Linked DNA regions of Caenorhabditis elegans. The protein of the gene in region 2 purifies or fractionates together with the protein of the main gene of each other region. This does not show direct contact. Each region holds a gene or a part of one and is shown on either strand. Other genes may lie near its edges.

The links. Proteins that work in one complex are often made in the same cells at the same time.
Region 1: the proteins of T24D1.3 (region 2) and mog-5 fractionate together in Caenorhabditis elegans (co-fractionation; one large-scale study listed by BioGRID). This does not show direct contact.

What each region holds. Positions count from the first base shown.
Region 1 is NC_003280.10:5,397,800-5,405,565, reverse strand, and holds the start of mog-5 (putative pre-mRNA-splicing factor ATP-dependent RNA helicase mog-5), read right to left. Parts: upstream 6,029-7,766; 5' UTR 6,028-6,028; coding exon 5,857-6,027; intron 5,673-5,856; coding exon 5,415-5,672; intron 5,364-5,414; coding exon 4,589-5,363; intron 3,328-4,588; coding exon 1,985-3,327; intron 1,245-1,984; coding exon 375-1,244; intron 126-374; coding exon 1-125. Other genes in the region: fbxl-3 (Putative RNA-binding protein EEED8.10), read left to right, coding at 6,684-6,746, 6,895-7,019, 7,076-7,176, 7,229-7,350, 7,404-7,504, 7,562-7,643, 7,692-7,766.
Region 2 is NC_003279.8:9,958,271-9,961,869, forward strand, and holds T24D1.3 (RING-type domain-containing protein), read right to left. Parts: upstream 1,826-3,599; 5' UTR 1,815-1,825; coding exon 1,729-1,814; intron 1,682-1,728; coding exon 875-1,681; intron 828-874; coding exon 671-827; 3' UTR 512-670; downstream 1-511. Other genes in the region: har-2 (RING-type domain-containing protein), read right to left, coding at 1-75; algn-10 (Dol-P-Glc:Glc(2)Man(9)GlcNAc(2)-PP-Dol alpha-1,2-glucosyltransferase), read right to left, coding at 2,229-3,048, 3,092-3,210, 3,259-3,434, 3,483-3,587.

The DNA of each region.
Region 1 (7,766 bases), on a different chromosome or scaffold from region 2:
GCATACTTGTCGAACAACGGATCGATTTTCTGGTTTCGTTTGAATGTTGATAATTTGGTAGAATCTCCGATTTTGAAGAATGACGGTGCAAATTCAACAAGCCATTTTGGATCGATTGCGGTGACCTGGAAATTGAAAATTAGGTTTTTATTTAATTTCTTATTTAGACTTAAATAGTTTTTGGCCCTAAATGAAAGAATAAAGTCTCCATATGCCAAATATGAATTTTAAAAATGTATATAATTTCTCTAAACTTTGTATTTTTTTTTCAAATTTTGAAAATATTTCAAAAGGGAGCATAATGGCCTAGTTTCGACATTTTTGTGTTTTCCGCCTACAGTACTTTTCCGTATATAAAATTGAAATAAACTTACTTCTCTCATATATTCCTTAGTTGTCATGACGAGTTCATGATATACAACCCATTCTGGTTGTTGTTGGAAACATGCTGATGATGGATGAATATAAACATTCTGTCCATCAGTCAATGTTCGATATCCTTCCTGTGGATCACGTTTTGCAGCATTTCGGAAGAATCCAGAGCAAATAGCCTTCTGAACTCTCGATACATCCCGTCCACAACTGACCATCAGAAGTTTATGACGATCCATGATTCCGAGTAATTGCTTACGAATGTCCTGAGCTCTCTTCATACTTCTCACTTGAATGAAATTTTCGAAACACCATGGTTGTGAGAAATGATGGTTTTTCCATGAATTGTAAACCGCTAGAAGTGTCAAATGATCTCCTTCTGGTTGATGGAATTTCGCCTTCTTCTGGTCAGCATGATCCTGTTTTTCTTTAGGTCGATAGAAAATGTTTTGCACATTGAGCATTGCCACAATCGTAAGAACTTCTTCTGAGCATCCCAGATCGACAGACATGATCAACAATTTGGAAAGTGATGGTTCCAATGGAAATTCAGCCATTCGACGACCAAGTTTCGTGAGAAGACCATCTCCATCAAGTGCTGAAAGCGTGTGAAGTGTATTGAGAGCAGTAATCATTGAATCCAGAGGTGGAGCATCCATGAAATCAAAATCAATCAAATTATTGATTCCCATAGCTTTAAGCTGAAGAAGTGTTGACGCCAAATTTGTTCGCTGAATTTCTGGAACAGGTGTCGGAAGCATCTCATCACGGAATGCACGTTCTGTGTAGAGACGATAGCATTTTCCAGGTCCCGTACGTCCTGCACGTCCTGATCGTTGCTTTGCTGCGGCTTGTGAGATTGGGGTGACAACCTGAAATTTATATTGTATTTTCGTTCTTATTTATCAGAAAATTGTTTTTTAATATCTCGAAAAAAATTATCTTATTTTGAGTAGCTAATAATTTTAATTCGTCTAATTGCAAACAATATTGAATTTTATTGCATCATTTTCAGTTTCTGGTGAAAACATTTTTTTTTCACTTTTTTTTCGAATCAAAATTTATGAAAAAAGGCGAAAAATGTATGATTCACTTTTTCGAAAAAAAATTTGTTAAAAAAAGGCGAAAAAATATTTATTCCACTTTTTTTCACAAAACATTACACTCAAAATTAAATATAACTCTACAAATATTTATTCTTGAAATAATAAGAATTTTCGTTTCAAACATTTCAAAAATATAAAATTTCAGTTTTTTCCTGTTTTTGGCGAAATAAATTGTTTCGCTTCGAACAAAATTTTTTTTCTTGTTTTTGGTCTCTCTGGTAAAAATGGATTTTTTTCTTCGTTTTTTTTAAGACAAAAACCAAAAAAAAAAAGTTTTTTTTAAAAAGAAATCCGAGTTTTTTTTGTTTTTGGCAAAATATTATTTTTTCGTTTTTCGTCTTCGAAAAAACTTGTTCTCCTGGTTTTTGAACTTTCTGGTAAAAATTGATTTTTTTTTTCGTTTTTTTAGCCGCTTTTCGTGTTTTTTGAAATTTTTTTTTCGTTTTTTGTCTTGTTTTTTGGTCGAATTTTTTCGTGAAATCCCTGACGGGTGCATAAATGCTTACCAAGGAATCCATTCCACTTTTCGGATTGTAAATCTTCTGTTTCACAAATCCTGGATCAACGACATAGAAAATTCCATCAATTGTCAAAGAAGTTTCGGCAATATTCGTAGCAATAACAACTTTTCGCTTTCCGGCAGGAGCTGGATCAAAGATTCTTGTTTGCATTTCACTTGGAAGAGCTCCGTAGACAGGAAGAATAATCAGCTCCGGCACATCAGGTCCCATTGATTTCATTCGTTCATATAAAACTTCACACGATGTATCAATTTCTTCTTGTCCAGTCAAAAACACAAGAACATCACCAGGTGGCTCAGTCAAATGAATTTGCATTACAGTAATATGTGCAGCTTCAAGGTAATCTGATTCTGGTTCTCTTGTGTACAGGATCTCAACGGGGAATGTTCTTCCAGGAATTGTAAAGATCGGAGCTTCCAGGAAATACTCTGAAAATTTAACTGAATCCAAGGTGGCACTAGTGATAATCAGCTTCAGTTCCGGACGTTTTCTAGCAGCAGCTTTCAATAATCCAAACAAGACATCCGTATGAATTGTACGTTCGTGAGCCTCATCAAGCATAATCAACGAATATCCAGAAAGATCAGGATCAATAAGACATTCTCTCAGAAGCATACCATCCGTCATGTACTTGATAATAGTATCTTGACTTGTACAATCTTCGAAACGAATTGTATATCCAACATCAGTTCCCAGCTTACAACCGTACTCTTCTGCCACACGCTTTGCTACGGACATTGCTGCAACACGACGAGGCTGGGTACATCCAATTTTACCACGTCTTCCAAGTCCAGCTTCAATTGCATATTGTGTCATCTGAGTAGTCTTTCCTGATCCAGTTTCTCCAACAACGACAAGAATTTGATTATCAATCATTGCTTCCATCAGATTCTTTTTCAACGCAAAGATCGGAAGACTTTCTCTCTGCTCAACCATACTCAAATTGGTTCTTCTTCCATAAGTCGCTTTTCCACCAGCTGTCACATGTTTCAACCATTCTGGCATTTCTTTCATTTTATTATTCCGATCCTTTGACTCATCAGCACTCCACGCAGTCGACTGATTTCCAGACATAGGATCAAGAATTCGAGCATTTGAACTGAATCCTTTCTGTGTATCCATATCACGCTCTCGTTGTGCTTGAATTTTCGTTTCTTTTCGTTCTTTTGAAAGAGCACCTTGCATTAAAGCTGCTTGAGCTAATGAACCATCCGGATTTTTGACAACTTTTACAGGTTCTATTTCTGCACCGCCTTTTCCATATCCACGTAAAAAGTCAGGTTCGTCTTCGACAAGCTCGATTTCAATATCCTCGCCATCACTTTCATCTGAAAATTGAAAAATTGTTGTGCTTTAAATGATAGAAACTTTATTTTAAATATTTAATGATTTTTTTTTAAATTTAGCTTTTTTAAAAATTGTCTTTGAATTATCGGGAAAATCATTTCCTTGTAATTTTTCGCATTTTCCTGCTAAATTCGAAATTTTTCCTTTGATATATGCAACTTTTGTCATATTTTGGCTTGTCTGTTGAAACTAAAAAATCGTCTTAAAAACGATAAATTAGTGTCGATTTTTGAGGAAAAATGTCTGCGTGCGCGAATTCAAAAACAATTTAGTCATTTTCAGGAAAAATTAATTTGTTTTAATTCAAAAAATTTTACAATTTTTCTTGATAAATTATTAAATCATAAATTTTATACCATCATTTTTTTCATGTTTTTTTTTCAATCTTGCTTAATTTTTAATTTTATTTGAATTCCCGGGAAAATTATTGCCGTAATTGTAAAGTATTCGCATTTTTCAGGCTAAATTCGATATTTATTCTCCGATGCATCTTTTGTCATACTTTGGCATTTTTCAGTAAAGAAAACCAAATTTAAATTTTGTTGAAAATAAAAAATCGGCTTAAAAACGATAAATTACTGTCAATTTTTAAGGAAAAATGTCTGTAAAACATCATTTTTAGTCATTTTCAAGAGAAATTGAAATTGTTTTCAATTAAAAAAATTTTGCAGTTTTTTTTTTAAATATAAATTATTTTTAAAAAATCATATACCGTATTTCCTCTATTAGTCTTGCATGCAAGACTAATTTTCGATTGACCCGTAGGGGTGCAAGACTAATAGAGACTGCAAGACTATTAGAGGCTGCAAGACTAATTTTCGAAGACCCGATAGATTTGTTCAATTGGCCATTTATCGTCACAAATTTGACTTGAAACAGTCTAAATCATGCAAAATACATACTTTTCTATTGTTTTATCAATTATTTTAACACTTTAAAATTTAATTTAGCTATAAAATGGCGAAATTGTTGAAGTTTTCACAAAATACTGCTGGTCTGGCAAGAATAGGGGTGCAAGACTAATACCGTATGTTCTCTATTAGTCTTGCATGCAATACTAATAGAGGCTGCAAGACTAATTTTAGATTGACCCGTAGGGGTGCAAGACTAATAGAGGAAATACGGTAAGCAAAATAAAGCACCATTTGCGCGGAATTCAAAAATAATTTAGTGATTTTCAAGAGAAAATAATTTTTTTTTCAAATTTATCATTAATTACTAGATCATAAATAAAATACTCACCATCATAATTTCTTAGAACTCCCATTTCTTCATCAAAATCAGGCATATCTGTGGCTGTGAGAACTCCGGCTCCTTGCATTTGTCTTAATTCCCACCGTTCAGGTGTCGAAATTCGAACTCTCGCCTTTCCACCACCAATTGAGGTCGAAGGACCTTGTCCTACTCCACTTGCTTCAGGATTCATCCACGAGGAAGTTGATGCTGGCGGTGTCCGTGGACGAACTCCGATTGCATCCGGATTCAGGTCGGTCTCGCGTGGATTCAAATCTTCTCCACTATTCTGATCGACTTCTTTCATTGACAACGAGATTTTTCCATTTTCAATCTTATTAACTTTAACTTTGACATTTTCTCCTCTTTTCAAAACATCTGCGACGGTTTGAACTCGTTCATTTCGAATTTGGGAGATGTGAACAAGTCCTTCTTGTTTTTGACGGAAACCTTCCAGTGTGATGAAAGCTCCGAACGATTGAATACTGTTTACACGACCATCGTAGATTTTTCCGATTTCTGCAACTTCGGATTTTCTAGCACCACCATCATCTCGTCGATCACGCCGATCTCTTTGTCTGTCGTCTCCTCTTCGATCCCCACGTCCTCTGTCTCTGTCTCTGTCCCGATCCCTCCTATCTCGATCTCTTCTGTCTTCACGACTCCTACTACGTCTCCGACGATCCCTGTCACCACTACGACTTCTTCTTCGTTTTCGATCACGACTCCTTGATCGACTTCTTGAACGGTTTCGTTTTGAATCTGATTCCTTTTGAAGACGTTTCTGTAAATGGAAAATTTATTTTAACAAATTTCAAATATCAAAGATACGTACCTCACTTTCATATCGGCCTTCCATCTTTTCTAACTGAGCCATAAGATCATCTTCATTATCTTCCTTTTCTTTCGCAGTATTTGCCATCGCTAGAGCTGGAAGTCGTGCTTTAATTTCTTCTTTTGCATCAGAAATCAATGTAATTTTGTGTGAATCCTTGATATCTTCTTTTGAATCACCACCTTTCTTGTTTTTCTTTTTAACAGCAGTCATGCTTTGTACTATACGAAGTATGGTCGCAGTGAGGGAATCATCAAACTGAAATTTAGAATTAAAGAGAGGAATATCGAGACTTTTATATTTATGAGACGAATAATGTTTTTTTTAAATCTCGATATTTGATATTCATCAAAATATTTTAAAACACCTTGAATTAAAATAATTTTGAAATTTCCTTTAAAAAAATAATTTAGTCGTTAAATTTTCTCATATTTCAACATACCTGATCCCCAAGTCCCTGACTATCCAAAGCCTTTTTCAGTTTATCAAATGTTGGATTCTCTTGAGCCAAATGAATAACAAACTCAGCGACATCTTTTTCGACGACACCAAAATGGTTCTCAACTTCACTGAGGACCTTGCTCACAAGTGAGAGGTGCTCAAGCTGGTCCATCCTGAAATTTACAGATAAAAAATTTAATAAAATAATTCTTTAAAGCAGTTTTAATTCCGAAAAACTCGAACAATAGAAAATTAGAGTAAAAAAACAAATTCGAAATCTAAAATAGTGGGCGTGGTCTTTCATGCAAACTGCGGCCCGCTTTTTCGCAATTGTGCCGCACAGTGTGCAGCTTTCTTTAATTATATTTTTTCAACAATTATTTTTTATTTTATTGAAGCTGCCGGCTTTCATTTCGTTTGTAAATATGTTTCATTGTGTTTTTTTGAATTTATTTTAGTATTTCCAAAAATGGATATATAAGTTTGTGTTAATGTAAAATCGTTATTGCAAATACCCTTTGCCTTCAAAGTTAACAAAAAACAAGGTCTTTTAAAGCATGATTTTAAATTTAAAAGCTGTTCAAAAACTGCAAATTTTCTAGATTTTCTTTGAATTGGTGCTTTTGAACGTTTCATAGTGACCAATGTGTCCCCAAGCATCCGAATGTCCCGTTTTCTGCGTCTCTTCACTTCCGTATAATCTCTAACCCGACTCACTGGTAAACATGCGCCATTCCTCCTCCGAACAACGACTAGTGAAAATCGATCAAAATTGTTTTCAAATTTATTATTAATGTTTCAATTTCAGAAAACAGTTAAACCTAAAAAATGGATTTCAATCGAAGCTTCACATCGAACCTCGGGAGCGCTGGAAGTGCTAAATCACAACAGGTTAGAGAACACAATTCGATTTTTTGTCTACCAAATAAATGTTAATGTGATAAGAAAACACTAGGGAACAGTAGCCAAATCAAATCATATGGTTCTGTTATCTTTTCTCTCGAAAAAACGTTTTTTTCACACATTTTCAATTTTTCAGAGTATGTTCAAAGCACTCCGCCGGCTTCATGGACAGAACTTGGAGAGCCGAGGGCTTCATGATATGACTGAAGCATTTCAGTCATTTGTCACAAGGGCACGGTTTTTCAGTATTGGAAAATTGAGGTAATATCAACATTTTAGCTCTGGTTTTTTCTAAATTAAAATTAAAATATTTTCAGGCGAACTTGGTCCCACTCTGCCGCAGAGTTTATGAAATATCGACGACTTTTACCAATGTTACTCGCCGATGGAGATGCATTTGATGGAGGAGAAACAGACGGTAATAAATCTTAAAATTTGGAAAAAAAATCAATAATTGTTTTTTTTTTCAGATTTCGATGCATCTATCGCTTTCCAACATACTTCTCGTGATGATCGAAAAATCGTGGTTTCGAATATTTCTGCTAAAGTCACCCAATCACAGCTTCAATCCTTCTTTTCTCAATATGGAAAAGTGTGTTGTTTTAATTATCATTTAAATATAAAATTTTAAAATTAAATTTCCAGATAACCAGCTGCATTCTGCCTCGCGAAGAGAAAAAGACATCAGTGTTCGGAACACTTCCAAAGCATTCCAGAAATTGTGGAACTGCTACTATTACTTTTAAGTATAATTTAAATTTTTTTGGTTTGTTCAGGTCTTTTTAATAATACAATTTTTGCAGAAAGTCTGAGCATGCTGATCGCGCGAAAAATGCGAATCCTGAAGAGTTGAAGTTTTATGATCAAGTTATGGTTGTCTCAGCTGTAAGTTTTTGATTTGGGATTTAATTTTTAAACCAATTTATCTTGTAGTATGTATCGAAAAAACGTGGAGGTAAAGGTCTCGTGCTCAGTGATGATGTTGGAAGTCGTGAAGATACTCCATTG
Region 2 (3,599 bases):
TCGTCTTTGCTCTTCCACATCAACTTCAGGAAAACCTTTTATCCTATGTTGACGAGATCCACGCATTGGATCCATCCAACTTGTTGACTGAAATATCAAAATTTGAAATTTTAGAGAATGCTAATACAAATAACAAAATATTAAAAAGGAATAGTTACACCTTTAAAAAAGTGTCAGAATATCGACGATCATTTGATTTATCTCAAATAACAATTTTTCTGCTGAAATATTTTCGAAAAATTGCTCAAAATGGGCGGCAAGTTGGTGATTGTCGAAAAACAAGCTCGATAATTCTTCAATACGATAATCAAATTTCAGGCTATTTTGGGCATTTTTTCCAAAACTTCAGCTGAAAATAAAGATATTTTCAGATAAATCAAGCGATTGTATATATTTCGGCACATTTTGCTAATGAACTGGAACAGTAAAAAATCACCGCAAACAACGAAGAAAATATGTTAGAAGTATCATGACTAAAACATAAGTTGAGAAGACATCAATATTCGAAAATATATATACATGCATTCATTTTTTTGTGAGATTGGATTAAAAAATAGGCAAATAAAAAAAAACAGGCAATCTCCGATAATATAGTAATCTTAACGATTTTACAAGCAATATAGGTGAGTTATATGGCACAAAACAATATGAGTTAAAGGGAATTTACAAATTATTTGGAAGTTATTCGGCGCTTGGATCGACGAAGAGAAGACTGTTTTCTCACAGAAATCACAGACATCTTCGATACGTCCGGCTTTCTTGCCCATTTTCGACGACAAAGCGGGCACGATGGTTTGGACGAACTGCGATACCAAATATCGACACATCTGAAAATTATATTTATGTTAATGTCGACAAAAACTGCTACAATTACTCTTCACATCCAATAATCTGTAGACAATTGTTGCATCCAAGCGGCGAAACCGGAACCTCGAAGCACATTGTACACTCTCCGTGGGAGCCGTCTTGATTGCGTCGTCTGGGATGTCGATCTGTGATTCCGGTAGATGTGCTCGGCCCTTCAAAGTCTATGGGAACGTGCTCCTGGTCATATGTTCTCGCATCATCGCCAATAAATGATTGATCGTTAGTGTTCGTTGGTGACGAATGATTTCCCGAGTCACCGCTGGTTCCACTACTGCTACTTGAAAGGTTTTCAAACTCGATTTCAAGGATGGGAGAAACTGCTCGACCCCTTCTTCTACGAATCGGTGTAATCGGTAGATTGGTTTGAGCAGTCGCTGACATTCTGATTGAGATTCTTGCAGAACTCCGACGTCTCAAGCCCAACAATCCTGTAGAAAAAATCGTAATCTCTGGCGATGTGGGTGATGCACGCTCTTGAGAAGATGATTCTGGTTGCTGAACAGTAGGAGGTACCTCTGGCTGTGTATTGGGTGCTGCCGGGATTTGATTTGCAGGATTATGTATGCGTCGGCTAATATCTCCAAATCTCTCCTGTTCAGGGTTTGCATATCTCCGACGTCTCAAAACGGAAACCGGGCTCGCATTGGGCGATGCTTGTGGTTGCTGAACTGGCGGAGGTACTGGAACTGGCGGTGTGTTGGGCGCTGCCGGGACTTGATTTGCATCATTATTTATATGTTGGACATCGTGATCATGAATAAGTTGTGCAAAAGCTTGATCGTTCATCTGCTGCTCAAACATCTCTAACGCTCGCCTGTAAAATAATCAGGTACCGAATAGGAATACTATTCACAGTCAAACCTTTGTTGTTCCAAATCGACTTCTGAGAACGAAAAGTTCAACAACGATGAACGCCGTCGCCGAGACCTGCGTGCTGGTGATGGCATTCCGTTTGAGTCTGGAAGAGAAGAGAATAATTGCTTTCAAAATCTTAAGCTGCGCTTGAAACAGAAAGTCTAGAAAGCATTAAGAATGATTTAAATGAAAAAAAAATGACGGTTTCTCAATTGAAAATGTTTTTAGAATCTGTAAAAATGCGAAACTAAGGCGCGAGAAAAATAGAACAAAACATGAAATTTCATGAAACGAAAAGGGCAAACTTGGTAATCGCTGCGAGACCCACGACTCATCTAATGTGGTTACTGTATTCGAGAAATTTTTATTTCTTTTTCGTTTTTTTGTTGCAATTTCTGAACAAATTCGTTCTCAATAAGAATAATTCCATAGAAAATAAATTAATTATTTTTTATTAAAAAACCCCGTAAGAAAAACAAGAAAATCAAATAGATAACTGTAAAATCCTAGAACATGAACCGTTGCTTGACGCCAGGTTCGTTGGACCATTCGAACGTTTTAAATAAGAATAAAACAAAAACTGCCGCAAAAATCACAGCTTGAGATATAATTTCCAAGAAGAGAAGTGATTTTCTAGAGTTATTTACAGTCGAAAGTCTCCAGAGAACATAAGGAATAATATAATATCGCATTTCGAATAGATGAGCTGGAACCAAAACGAGTAAAGATGCGATTATAAATAGAATTTTGTGGAATATATGCACGGACGGTGTCGATGTCGTCATAAATCTTAAAGAAAACACGTAGAGAGGAGCAAGAGTTGTCCGCATTGTGGGATTTGCCAAGAATCGCCTCCAGATGTAGAATGTGAAATGCCGATTATCAGCGAGAAGATACGGGTGATCATAAGAATAGTAGTAGACAAGAACTGCCACAACTGCTTGTAGAACTAATGATTTCATGTCGGTTAGGTGTCGAAGGTGAGATAACAGATTTGGGATGATTTGAGTCCAAGTGTGAGCCGCGCAGAATGCAACCATGTAGAAAAATTGAGCCACGTGGAACTTTGGTTGGTGAGCTTTTGCATCTCCAAGGACAATTTGGAAATCATTGAAATATATAAACATCGCAAATCCAATTGCAAGTGTAATGAATGGCCATAGAGAAAATGCAGTTGAAATTATGATCTTAAGATTTTCCATTTTTGAGCGGGACTTGTCAATTCTTGAAGCAATTACAGAGAACGCGTATATCGCTGCCCAAATGATATTTGTCTGGCGTGTCAGTATTGAGATTAGGAATAAGAACGCAGATGCAATTGGGTTTCTGAAATATCACATCATTATTTTCAATAGATGCATTGATTTACCCGATCGAAAATCCCCAAATAACTGAAGTGAGTGACAACAAATCGGTATAAAAAAGAATTGAAGACGATATCAAAATTGGAAGCATTCCGACGATTGATGCAGTCAGCCATACATCTTGCTGCAAATCGGTATTTTTCAAATAAATCTTCAAAGTTGGAATTCTTACTCTAACGAACATTCTCCGAAAACGGCAAAATGCTGGTATAGCGAAAAATAGAAGAATCGAGTTAGCGTATCTTTCATTTCCACCACATAATGGCATTGAAATAACATAAAGTGCCGGTGGAGTTGTAATTAATGGATTCCAGCTGTAATTTCCTGAGCAATATGATCTAGTTTGAGCTGAAAATTAGGGAAATTGTAGACAGAATCTCGACAATTGTGTCTCACTAATGTGGAAGATCTCATCCATATACGGCTCTGGAACATAGTGGTAGACAATTGTTGTCAGCAGAACGTGAATGCAAGAAAACGAAGCACCAAGTAGAAAATCGCCTAAACTTGAGA